3 linked regions of the Coturnix japonica genome follow. The protein of the gene in region 2 interacts with the protein of the main gene of each other region in a pairwise test. Links are inferred from orthologs where the notes say so. Each region holds a gene or a part of one and is shown on either strand. Other genes may lie near its edges. The genes, in order: FGFR1OP2, TRAF3IP1 and PCNT.

Region 1 (3,651 bases), on a different chromosome or scaffold from region 2:
GGGCAAGGTGATGATCTGCTAGATGTGTGGACTTCTAATCAAGTTTGTCATTTAAAGATGGTATTTAACTTTAATCTGTGCTGTTCCTCACTGTACATAGCAGATTTCAGTCCTACTGTTCTTTTTCTAGTAATATTTAATAAATGTTGTGAATTTTGCCCAAAGGTCAGGCCAGGCATGGAGAGGCAGGTCTGTTAGTGGATTTGGAATAAGAAACAGGTTGAAAGACTGGACAAATTAAAAGCGTCTGTAAATACATTAAAGTATTTGGCTTAACTCTACAGCAGTGAATGCCAAATCACTTAGGCTCTTCATCTACATTTTTCAAGAGAAATAAGCAGAGGCTCTATAAGTGCTTCTTGCTGATATGCTGGCCAGTGAGAAAGTAAAACATCACCCAAGCCAACAAGGGCCAAGTAAGATATCACTTATTTGCAAACAGGGGAGATTATTCAAAATCTAACTTCCCTGCAAAGGCTGTTAGGCCTGTGTTAATGTCTCCTATCATCACTTTCCTGGCAGTGGAACAAGATGAGCAAAGACAACTACTGCACTTGTTGTTTTTTTCTCCTCCATGAATATTTCAGTGAGATGCAGTAATTATTTATAATAGGGAAGTACCCTATTGGTATTAATTAGTGGAGGTCAGGCAGGACACGAGGGTGTTTCTAGAGTTCAACAAGGACAAGGACCTCTAGAGACCAGATCCCAGATAAGCTGAAATGGGAAGTGGATTTGAGCAGCGGTACCGCAAAAAGGACTCAGAGTTTTCCAACTTATGTCATAGTCAGGATGACAGCTTTGCCTGCTCTTTCTAACAGAGAAATGCCCACTCACGGGCGAGTACTGTCTGTACCAGACTTGCGACCAGCTTTCAAACAGGTCCAATATGCTGCTGTGCTCAGATGAAGTTGGCCTTTCTGCACATCCAGAAGGACGCATACATCAGCTCCTGCAGTACAGGAAGTTCTTGCCAGAGCAAACACGTGGCTGTCTAACAGCCATCTGGGAGACATGGAAGCTGTCAAAGGCACAGTCATTTGGGCATGTTTTCTTCTGTAAAACTCCTAAAAGTGAACCGTGTGGCAAACCAGATTGATTTAAATGAACAGAACTGCAGTGGCTGCTCATGCTGTAGAGTTAGCGCTTCTTTGTTTAGGTCTGTGTTTGCATTTTTATTGCATGACACGGCAGTTTAAATGCACATGTAATACTTTATTTTTAGTAATGAAGAAAGCTTATTACTAAAAGTACTGTTTTATCTATATGGTGTAGGAACTACAAGTGCACGTGGACCAAATTACAGAAATGGCAGCGGTAATGAGGAAAGCCATTGAAATTGATGACAAGCATGGCTGTAAAGAGCAGGAACGTATCATTCAGCTTGAAGTAAGTATGAGATCTTTTTTTGAGATTTGTGCCAGTGATGGCACAAATAGGGATCTGTCTTCCTCTACCCTCCCAGTGAGAAATGCTCAGAACTGACTGTGAGACAAGAAGTTGCGATTACACACAGATCAGAGTCTGGCTGTCAGAACAGGGAAACTCTCTGCCACTTATTTGGGGAGTTGGGGGAGCAGGTTACCGCTACCCAAATACGTTCACACAAGCTTTAAATTGTGCTCCACGTCTCTAAACAAAATATCTTGTTCTGACCCTACAGTTCTACCTTTCTTTTACAGTCTTTCAGTACTTTAGGGTTTAGGAATAGCCAGCTTCCCGTGCATCTGCTGCCAGTACTCAAAGCCAGCATTAAGATAGCTGCGTGCTATCTTCATGGAGCTGGACTGTTTCAGGTAATTAGTTTACTTAGGAGAATTAGTTTGATGTTGTATCAAGGAGCTGAGGGGGCTGTAGCTGACATGAGATTGGTCTCTGCTGCGGTGCCATCTTTCCAGAACTCGGGAGCAAATCATGTTCTGTATTCTTGCAGTAGATTTGCTGAAATTGCCACAAATCCTGAGATGCTGATTTAGACTTTTGCTTTAGTCACCTGCTTGGTTTTCCAGTCTCCCTCGGTATTAAATCATTTCCTTTGACAAAGGTTTTCCCAGTGCGCTACCAATTTGGCTGCTTTTTTATAAGACGTTGTGGAACCAAGTCACACGTTATTATCGAGTGAGGAACTGGGTGCAATGTTTAATTATTTCCAATGCTGCTACCAACCCTAACAACAGTTTTTAAAGTCAGTAAACTCTTCAGTAAAGGGATCCTTTCTGTTTGTAACTCTGTGGTAATCCGGCACGTAAAACAAAAGCCGCTTTGTGCACTTACCTTCTGGTACAGTTCGTTGTGTGTAAAATGCCTTTGGTTCTGTTGTTCCCAGTGCTTCAGTTATTTCTAGAACTCAGCCCTTAGCAAGGGTGTTAACCTTATCACAGTTACTGAGTTACTGTCTCTTTCTTGAGTTACTGGATCATTCACTGGTACTGCTAGTTTGTTGCATGTCTTTTGTAAGTGTGTTTGTAGTAAAGGGAAGGAGAGATCCTTCATGTAGTTATCTGACTTTCTGGAGTTCTATTAAATGCCTTTTTTTATCCCTCGGTTATAGCAAGAAAACAAAGGCTTGAGAGAAATTCTTCAGATAACCAGAGAATCATTCCTGAACCTTAAGAAAGAAGATGCATCAGAGAGTACATCCCTTTCAGGGTTAGTAACAAGCAGTGATTTGAGCCTGAGGAAGAGCTGAAGACTGTGGAAGCCAACCAGCTTTAATTGCACACTTTACAAACGGAATATCAGGGGTCACTTGTCAAGCACTTGTTACTGAATAGGGCACCAGCAGGCTTATGCATCTTGAACTTTGGTTTAGTGGCTTTTATACCGTGTAAAATAAACTCCAGTCGGTACTCTCTGAATACCGTAGTGACAGATTAATTGCCATAGGTCTAACTTCAGTAGGAAATGGGTTAGTGCACTTATGGAATTGGGAATTATTTTTATATGAAGTCATTTTACAAATAAAATACATAATTTCACTTAATTTATATAATTTATTGCTCGGACAAAACTTCAGTGCACCTATTATACAATAAATGCAAGATTTAAAGTAGTCTGATATCTGGCTAAAAGATAGCGACTGACTACGCTTTGTGCATGCTCCATAGTTCATTTGTCCTTTTAGTTACTAAGGTTTGTGAAATTCAGCATTTAGCAACGAGCCTCTTTAATGGAAAGAGCCAGCAGAAAGCCGACGGGCTCCTGTTAGCCGCAGGCTGCCCTGTTGCAATGTAAGGCCAGTTGCTCAAACATAAGCAATACTTTTGCAGTTGTTTTTACCTTATGAGAGAAAATGAAGCTCAGTTCTCTGTGGGTGGCAGGCTGCCGTAGTCTCATCTGTTTCTTTGGGGATTGGCTGCCCAAAGCTAGAAACAGCAATTTGAAAGCACTCAGACCGTACTGAGGGAAAGATAATTGGGAGAAAGAGGTGAGAAATTCTATGGCAAAGTTAGCAGACTGTGCACCTGGAACTATTATTTTCTTTCTTTAAGTACTATTTAGTCAAGGAGTTTTGTGTATTTTCACTGGGAGCTCTCAATACATCACACTGACAAGACTGCTCACTTTTATTAGTGAAAAAGCTGCAGAGGTGAAAATGAATTAGCGCTTCTAGAACAAGAAGTAGCTTGCACGGTTTGCCTGTACACCAGA
Region 2 (3,651 bases):
AGCCTTCCAGTACTTAAAGGGAGCTTATAAACAGGAGGGGGACCAACTTTTGACATGGTCTAATCAGGATAAGACAAGGAGGGATGGTTATAAACTAAAAGAGGGGAAATTTAGGTTAAATATAAGGAAGATAATTTTCACTCAGGAGGTGATGTGGCACTCCTGCAGGTTGTCCAAAGAGCTGCACGTGTCCCATTCCTGAAGGCATTCAAGACCAGTTTGGATGGGGCCCTAGGCAGCCTGAGCTGGTGGGTGACAACACTGCCCATGACAACGGGCTTGAAACTGGATGGTCTTTAAGGTCCCTTCCAACCTAAGTCATTCTATGACTCTACCATAAGCCACTGCTGTGTAAATGAACCTAAGAGGAACAAAACAGGAAAGAAGAAGAGTTCAGTCCTCAGGGCAGAAGAAAGCAGGCAACACATTAGGCAATGGCATATCAGACAGCTTGAAAGGGGGTTGTTTTAACTTGTTTCAAGTGCAGTGTATTTTTAGAAAGCTGAAAAAATGGATGCTTAAGATATATCAATGCAGCACACACTACCAAATAATGCAATCAAATACTCTTTGTAGGCATTAATACAAAAGTTGTTTCCTTTGCTTTTAATACATTTGTTTCACATGACATAAATGGTATTACAGCAATTTAAGTCAGGGTAAATCCCTGGGAATAAAGGCATTATCCTGCTGTGAAACTACTGGGAGGAAAGTAAGATCAACCTCAGTGCACTAAGGTGCACCTCTCGACTATCTCATGATGGAATGTTCTCTAAATCACTTTACACAGCTATCCAAGCTCTCCAGCTTTACGAGATTCATTGGGAGCGTTTTCATTTCATTCCTCTCTTGCAGAGCCTTAGTAAGGTGACCATTTGTCATGCACTCGTCTAAAGAGTATGTTTTCAACACCTAAAAGCAAAGCAGCGTCTACCGTTACGCAAGCAAGTAAAGGAACAGCATGTTATCTAGATTTAAGGTAGTAAAGCAACATGCCTTGGAATCACTCCCAAAAGCACTTAAGACGGGAAATGAAACTTTACTGCCCCAGCATATTCCAGTGGTGCCCAAGAGCACTACGACAGCTTGGGACGAGGCTCAGAATTTCCATTAGAGACCCAATTTGCAGGAAGTTTAACTTGGCCATGAACGTTCGCTTCAGGCTGAAAACTATTTTATAAGCTCTCCCTCCAAGTGCCAATAATTCAAAAACTTTGGTTGGATTTCAGTCAAAAAACAGCTATAAATTTGTCATCTCATGTAGAAGACACAATGATGTCAGCGGCCCACAGAATTCCAACAGAGACGCCTGCTGGACTTGGGATGCTGCCTATTTCTTCCTAGCATGAACTACCTTCAGGCTAATTTATTGAAGGCTCACTCTTAAACATTTAGCCATACGGTTCCTTAATTCCCCATATTGCCTCAGGTCATCAAGAAGCAGCAGATGCAGACACAATGGTATCACAAACAACAGCTACTGTTCAGAGGCAGTCAGCAAGTTCCTGTTCCACCCTACCATCATCCAGCTGCAAAACACAATGCAAAACTGGATTTATTTTCCATTCAACCCAGCAACCGCTATTAAAACACCTGTCCTAAATCCTAGCAGCTGGCACGGTTTGGATTGAGGGTAAGAACAATGTTGATAGCACAACAACGGTATAGCTGTTGCTAAGGAGTGCTTACACTCAGCCAGGAAGAACTCTGCAGCTTCTTGTGCTGGCTGCCAACAAGGCACTGGGGTGCACAAAGATATGGGAGGGGACAAAACCAGGACAGCTCACCTAAGCTTGCCAAAGGGATATCCCATACATACGGCATCACCCTGAGATAGCCAGGATTCCACTGCTGGGCATCAGTCAGCTGGTGGTGAACAAATGATTTTTACACTGCTTGTTTAGTTGCTTTTCCTTTTTTTTGTCTTATTAAACTCCCTTTATCTCAACCACCCCCCCACCCATTTTTGCACTTTGAACTTTTCAGTTCTCTCCTCCAGCCCAAAGCTGGGGGTGCGAGTGAGCAGCTGCATCACACTGAGCTGCCTGATCAAACAAACATATAGCAGCATTCCAGGAAAGAGGAAAAAGGAGAAACCTTTGAACAAATAAACATTTTCCTGTAGTAGTCAACTAAATAAAAATACTCAGACAACCTATTTTAGAGCCCTAAAACTTGGCATCTACTTCACTTTCAATCTTCATTTCCTTAATGCAGATTTCCAAACCATTCTAAACTGGAACGCTTTCAAAGCTCGCCTTCCCCGATCTTCTATATCATTAACCTCATCATCTGGCTGGCACCTGCTGGCTTTAGTTGGCTTCTGCAGTTTTCTAAGTTTGGATTCCTCAGAATCTGCAGACTAAAATGAAATATTTGCTTTAGATTCCATGTGCTGAGTAACAGCCTAGTTAGCTGAAATATATGAATAGGAAATGAGCATACAGTGCAACTGGGCGCATTACAACAGAATTCTTAGCCATCTACCTGCTCTCCTCAACTGGCTTGGCTCTCTTGGAAGTCTAACAGGGCAAGATTCACTGTTCAACTGATCTCTCTATGGAAGAAGTAAGCTCAAGAGTGAGACAAGCAACCAGCTATGGCTCAACAAAGCTCTCTTTAACCCCCACCTTCCCCAGAAGCTAGCTTTGGCTGAAGCAACAGCATGCGTTACTAGAAAGATGCATGACAATGACAGCGAATAATTCCAACAATAGCTGCCACTCCACTCTATCAGATTGAATCTAATGTGATGAGGAGAATTCAAGCAAGCACAGTTCAGAAAATAAACTGCTTAACAGACATTCAGGAAGCACTGGGCAGATGAGTCTGACTGCTCGCAGACAGGAAGGTGCACATACAGCCTCGGCCACATCCTTAACAGATTAAATCCATAATAAAAAAACATTCACTGTTACAGAAAACGCTTCATAGTTGAACACTGCTCTGCGATAAGATCTCACTTACCTTTTTCTCTGCTTTATCCTTTCCGTGTTCTTGTCCATGCTCCCCATCTTTCCCTCTGTCTCTCTGTTTGTCCCTCTCAGGGTCTTTTCCCTTTTCTCTGTCTTTCTCTCGTTCTCTCTCCCTACCCTTATCTTTGTCTCTTCCTTTCAGTCTGTCCGTTTCTCTTCCTCCTTCATTTTTTTTCTCCTTTTCTTGTGCTTTATCCCGTCCAATATTATCTTCTCGTTCTATGTCTCTTTTTCCCTTGCTTTTTTCTGTTTCTCTTCCTTGTTTGGTCGTTCTGCTTTTGTTTCTTTCCCTTTCTTGTTTTCCTCCTTCCTTAGAGTTGTCCCTTTCAGAGTCTTTGTGCCTGTCTTCATTATCCTTCTGTTTTTCACTTTCCTTTTCTCTTTCTTCGTTTTCTTTGACGTCTCCTTTGGGTTTTCTGTCTCTGCTCGAACTTCTGTCTTTAATGTCAGTTTCTCCTCTTCCCTAAAACAAATCAAAAAGTAATATTCAATTTCAATAGATGTCAACTCTATCACATAGTTACTTTCTACATACAACATGCCCACTATAGAAATAAAATATATAATAATAATGAGTAGCCAGTGTACCCAACAGGAGTTTCCTACCTCTTTATCCCTATGGTTTTTTTGGTCTGTTTTGGACTCCCTGCTTTCTGTATCTCGAGGTTTACTGGAT
Region 3 (3,651 bases), about 950 kb from region 2:
AATTACCAGCTTTCTCACTGATACTGTGATAGAAATGAATCTTGCAAAGGACATAATCATCTTCTCATTCCTGTCTTTTTAACATATGTCTTTTGTAGAATTACAAACCAAAGCCAAACTCCTCTGACAATTTCCTTATGGTTTGCCCTCTGATTTTTGTTCTCCTTCTGGTAATTATTTAAGTGTGTAGGTGTTTTCTCTTTGTTGGTTTGGCTTTTTTTCTGCTTTTATGGTGGAGCACGTTAGCACTGTGTGTATCTTGTACAAGGGCTGTTCATGCAGAGAACACGGGGACCATATTGGTCAAAAGCAAAGTGAAAGTGCACTGCCCCAGGTAAAGCTGTGCAAGAGGTGTAACCATTCTCAGGTGACTGCAGTCCTGCATTCCCAGTACTACAGAAAACTGATGGTACCAGGTTTGTGCCGCTTAGTGGTCAGAGATCTGGTGCTGCCTGGGGAGAGAGGGCAGAAAACCCTGCCATGTTTGTTCTGGCTTCCTGAGGCTGCCCCTTCATTTACTTGCTTCCTTTATGAAATCAGACTAATGAAAATGGGTTATTGTCATCAGTCTGTTCTGCATTTTTTAAATAGGTGGGCTGTAAAACCAAAAGGTTTTATAGATAGTCTTACTGCTTAGATGACTGTTTATTAGTGTTTTTTAATCAAAATTCAGGTTATTTCTGCTTCAGATATCATTTAAGATGATTGGGTAATGTTAAAAAAAAAAAAGATAAATTGATTTCTCAGTGAGGTTATTAATGATTGAAGGAAAAATAATGTACCACAAGGTATATTCATATTAAGATCCTTGGTTGTATTAATTGGTATCGTGACTGTAAAGAGCATGTTTCTGGCACTCAGAAAATTGAACTTGTGTTTATAAATTAATTTTTTAAATACCTGAACTAGTCTGGCTCAATCTTGATTTCTTTTCTCCTTGAATAAAATATAATTTTGAAAATTACTGAATGCCAGAGCACCCCACAAATGAGTGCTTATGTTAAAATATCACTGTGTTTCTCTCATTGTGCAGGATTTACAGGCTGCCTTGGATTTGCAGATGGTGCAAAATAACAAGCTGTCTGTATCCTTAGAGCATGAACAAATAATAAATGATAATCTCCGCAAGGAACTTCGGATAGAATATTCCCGCTGTGAAGCGTTATTGTCTCAAGAACATGACAAAGTGTTGGAGCTACAGAAGAACTTGGATGCTGAGAGAAATCATTCTATGGAGCTCTTGAATTCCTTGAATCACGAGCGTGTTTTGACAGAACAGTTGAGCATGCAAGCTAAGGAGGAGGCTTCCTGTCAGCGCAGGGAGTTATTGCTAGAACAGGCCCTTATCCGAGAGCTCCAAGCCCAGCTGGAGGAAGAGAGATCCCGCAAGGCAGAGCTAGCTGCTATCATTGAGAAAACACACCAGAAAGCCATTCGTTCCAAAAGGCAACTAGAGGCTGAAGTACAGATGTGTTGTGAAGAAACACAAATGGAGAATGAGACCACTAACAAACTCCGAGCAACACTGGAATCTCTTAGGAGTCAAAAGCAAGAGGTAATCCATTCCCTGGAGGCCCAGAAGGAGAGAGAGGCAAAGTTGAAAGCTAACTGGGAAGAATTGCAGTTACTCTTCAAAACAGTGCAAGATAAAAATAAGAAAGAGTAGAGAGAGCAAAGGCAGCAGCAACAAACAGAAACAAAGAGGAGGGCTGACAGAAGGATCAGGAGAGACTTGTAAGAATGTCTGAGTCTTCCCTTAGATTGAATTAACCATGAATTGGTAATTAACACAGTGCATAATGTCCTCTAATTAAAATGTTTCCTTCCCTGTAACAGAGTGTTATGAAAAATGCTTTAAACCAGCTGCCTGCATTTTTCAAATGTAGCTGTTTTCTGGGTTTAGTTTAGGTCTATGTTGGGGATTGCCTCTTGTTAGCAAATGGAGGAGACATTAAGTGTGGTTTAAACATAGTAGGTAACCAAACTAGGTTTCACCCTTGTTTCTCAGCTCCTTCACTTTCATTAGAGGAACAAGGGGGCTTTGTAGACTTTCTGAAGACTTGCAAGTTGCAAAGTCAGGAAATGGATGGAGATGATGCTCACTCTGTAGTTAAATGGCTTCCTGGTAGCCCTGGAGTGCAGTAGTATAAGTTTCCCCCTGTAAAGTGGTACATGGCTTAAGAAACACTGAGATGTGGATATGTTAGTTGGGTGTGGTGCTTTCATATGTGGTCTGCATATCTAAATCCATATGTACTGGGGTGTGTGTATGTACAAGTGGCAATTTATTACTACTTATTCTGTTAAAATAGCAAAACTTGGAACTGCAACACCAAAGGGATGAACAAAGAATTAAAGAGATGCAGGAAATCATGGCGATCTTAGAGGAAACAGAAAGAAGTCCTCCATCTCCCAGCAGTCAACGAGGACCGTTGTGTACTTCAGACAAAGATCAAAATGCCAAAGAGCCCATGACAAAAGAAACTGAAAAATTCAACTTGCAGCAGCAGCAACAGCTGGAGAAGATAAGACAACAGTTGCTTTTTGTAGCTGCACGTCTCGTTGAGTTAATGTGTAAAACTGTAGATAAGTGAGTAGCTTAAATGCTGTTCATAAAACAGTAGTTTTCTCTCCATACAGCTTCTGAACTCGCACAGATCATGGCTGAGAGCCATCAGCTAAAGGAAATGGATTGCGTATCATTTCCTCTGCTTACAAGATTGCGATGTGAAACCATGATTACGTGGTGCTTAGCAGACTGTGTTTAGAAGGTTGTCATCCCCATTCCTGTAAAAATCATTTATGCCTGCCTGCAAACCAGATCTGTGAAGTAACCTTTCATAAAAAGAGCAACTCCAAAAAGAGAAAACAGGAGTTTGAAGGAGTTTTTTTTTTAGTTTGCAGTGAGCAAATAAATCCGGATTGGAGAGCAATCAGAAAAACAGCTTAATCAAGGCAGCTGCAGGTTTGGAATGGTGGGCTGTATTGAGGAAGGGAAAAGTTGGCCAAGCTCAGTAATTTTTAGTTTCTATGGCAGCAAAGTAAAATACCAATAAAATTTTGCTGCAGCCTGAATTTGCATGGTTGAATTTCACACTGGTAGAGAATACGGATTTCTGAATAAGTTTTTGTTCAGCACTATTTAGAAATTCCACTATTTAATAAAAATTTCTGATTCATTGTGTTGTGTTTGATAGGTAGTAAATGAGGACAGCATCAAAACTTAAGATATTTCAATGGGGAGGAAGAATGTGTGCTAACTATAATATAAGATCACTAAAAATCAACCATACTGACAAAGTGTTTCTTTTTAACAGAACGGTTAGTGACTGGTATGTATCAAATGATGAAGCTGTAGCATCTTTACTGCAGACATTAAAGGAACTAAAATCAGATTTATTGACTCCTCCTGCATCTCAGGTGAGGAAAATGGCATATATTTGTTCATTATCAGGAGGTTGTTCTGTGTTCTTTGGGTTCTGGTACACATCTAAGTTGTGGCAGTGTTGGTGGTGTTTGTGTTGTAGGGGTTTGTTTTAGTGTTCTGAGGAAATCTGTTTTTTTCAGCTTGATGGTAGAAAAAAGACAGGAACTCCTATACTCACACCATCTTTATGCCAACATATTTAGTATGCGTTTTTCTATGTATGT

The links.
Region 1: the proteins of TRAF3IP1 (region 2) and FGFR1OP2 interact in a two-hybrid assay, tested with the Homo sapiens proteins (2 studies listed by IntAct). The link is inferred for Coturnix japonica from reciprocal best matches to the Homo sapiens genes TRAF3IP1 and FGFR1OP2.
Region 3: the proteins of TRAF3IP1 (region 2) and PCNT interact in a two-hybrid assay, tested with the Homo sapiens proteins (2 studies listed by BioGRID and IntAct). The link is inferred for Coturnix japonica from reciprocal best matches to the Homo sapiens genes TRAF3IP1 and PCNT.

Annotation. Positions count from the first base shown.
Region 1 is NC_029516.1:62,493,904-62,497,554, forward strand, and holds part of FGFR1OP2 (FGFR1 oncogene partner 2), read left to right. Parts: intron 1-1,275; coding exon 1,276-1,389; intron 1,390-1,682; coding exon 1,683-1,796; intron 1,797-2,551; coding exon 2,552-2,689; 3' UTR 2,690-3,651. UniProt on the Homo sapiens protein: May be involved in wound healing pathway.
Region 2 is NC_029522.1:3,289,346-3,292,996, forward strand, and holds part of TRAF3IP1 (TRAF3-interacting protein 1), read right to left. Parts: coding exon 3,582-3,651; intron 3,439-3,581; coding exon 2,968-3,438; intron 1-2,967.
Region 3 is NC_029522.1:2,343,612-2,347,262, forward strand, and holds part of PCNT (pericentrin), read left to right. Parts: intron 1-1,033; coding exon 1,034-1,555; intron 1,556-2,312; coding exon 2,313-2,590; intron 2,591-3,317; coding exon 3,318-3,420; intron 3,421-3,651. UniProt on the Homo sapiens protein: Integral component of the filamentous matrix of the centrosome involved in the initial establishment of organized microtubule arrays in both mitosis and meiosis. Plays a role, together with DISC1, in the microtubule network formation.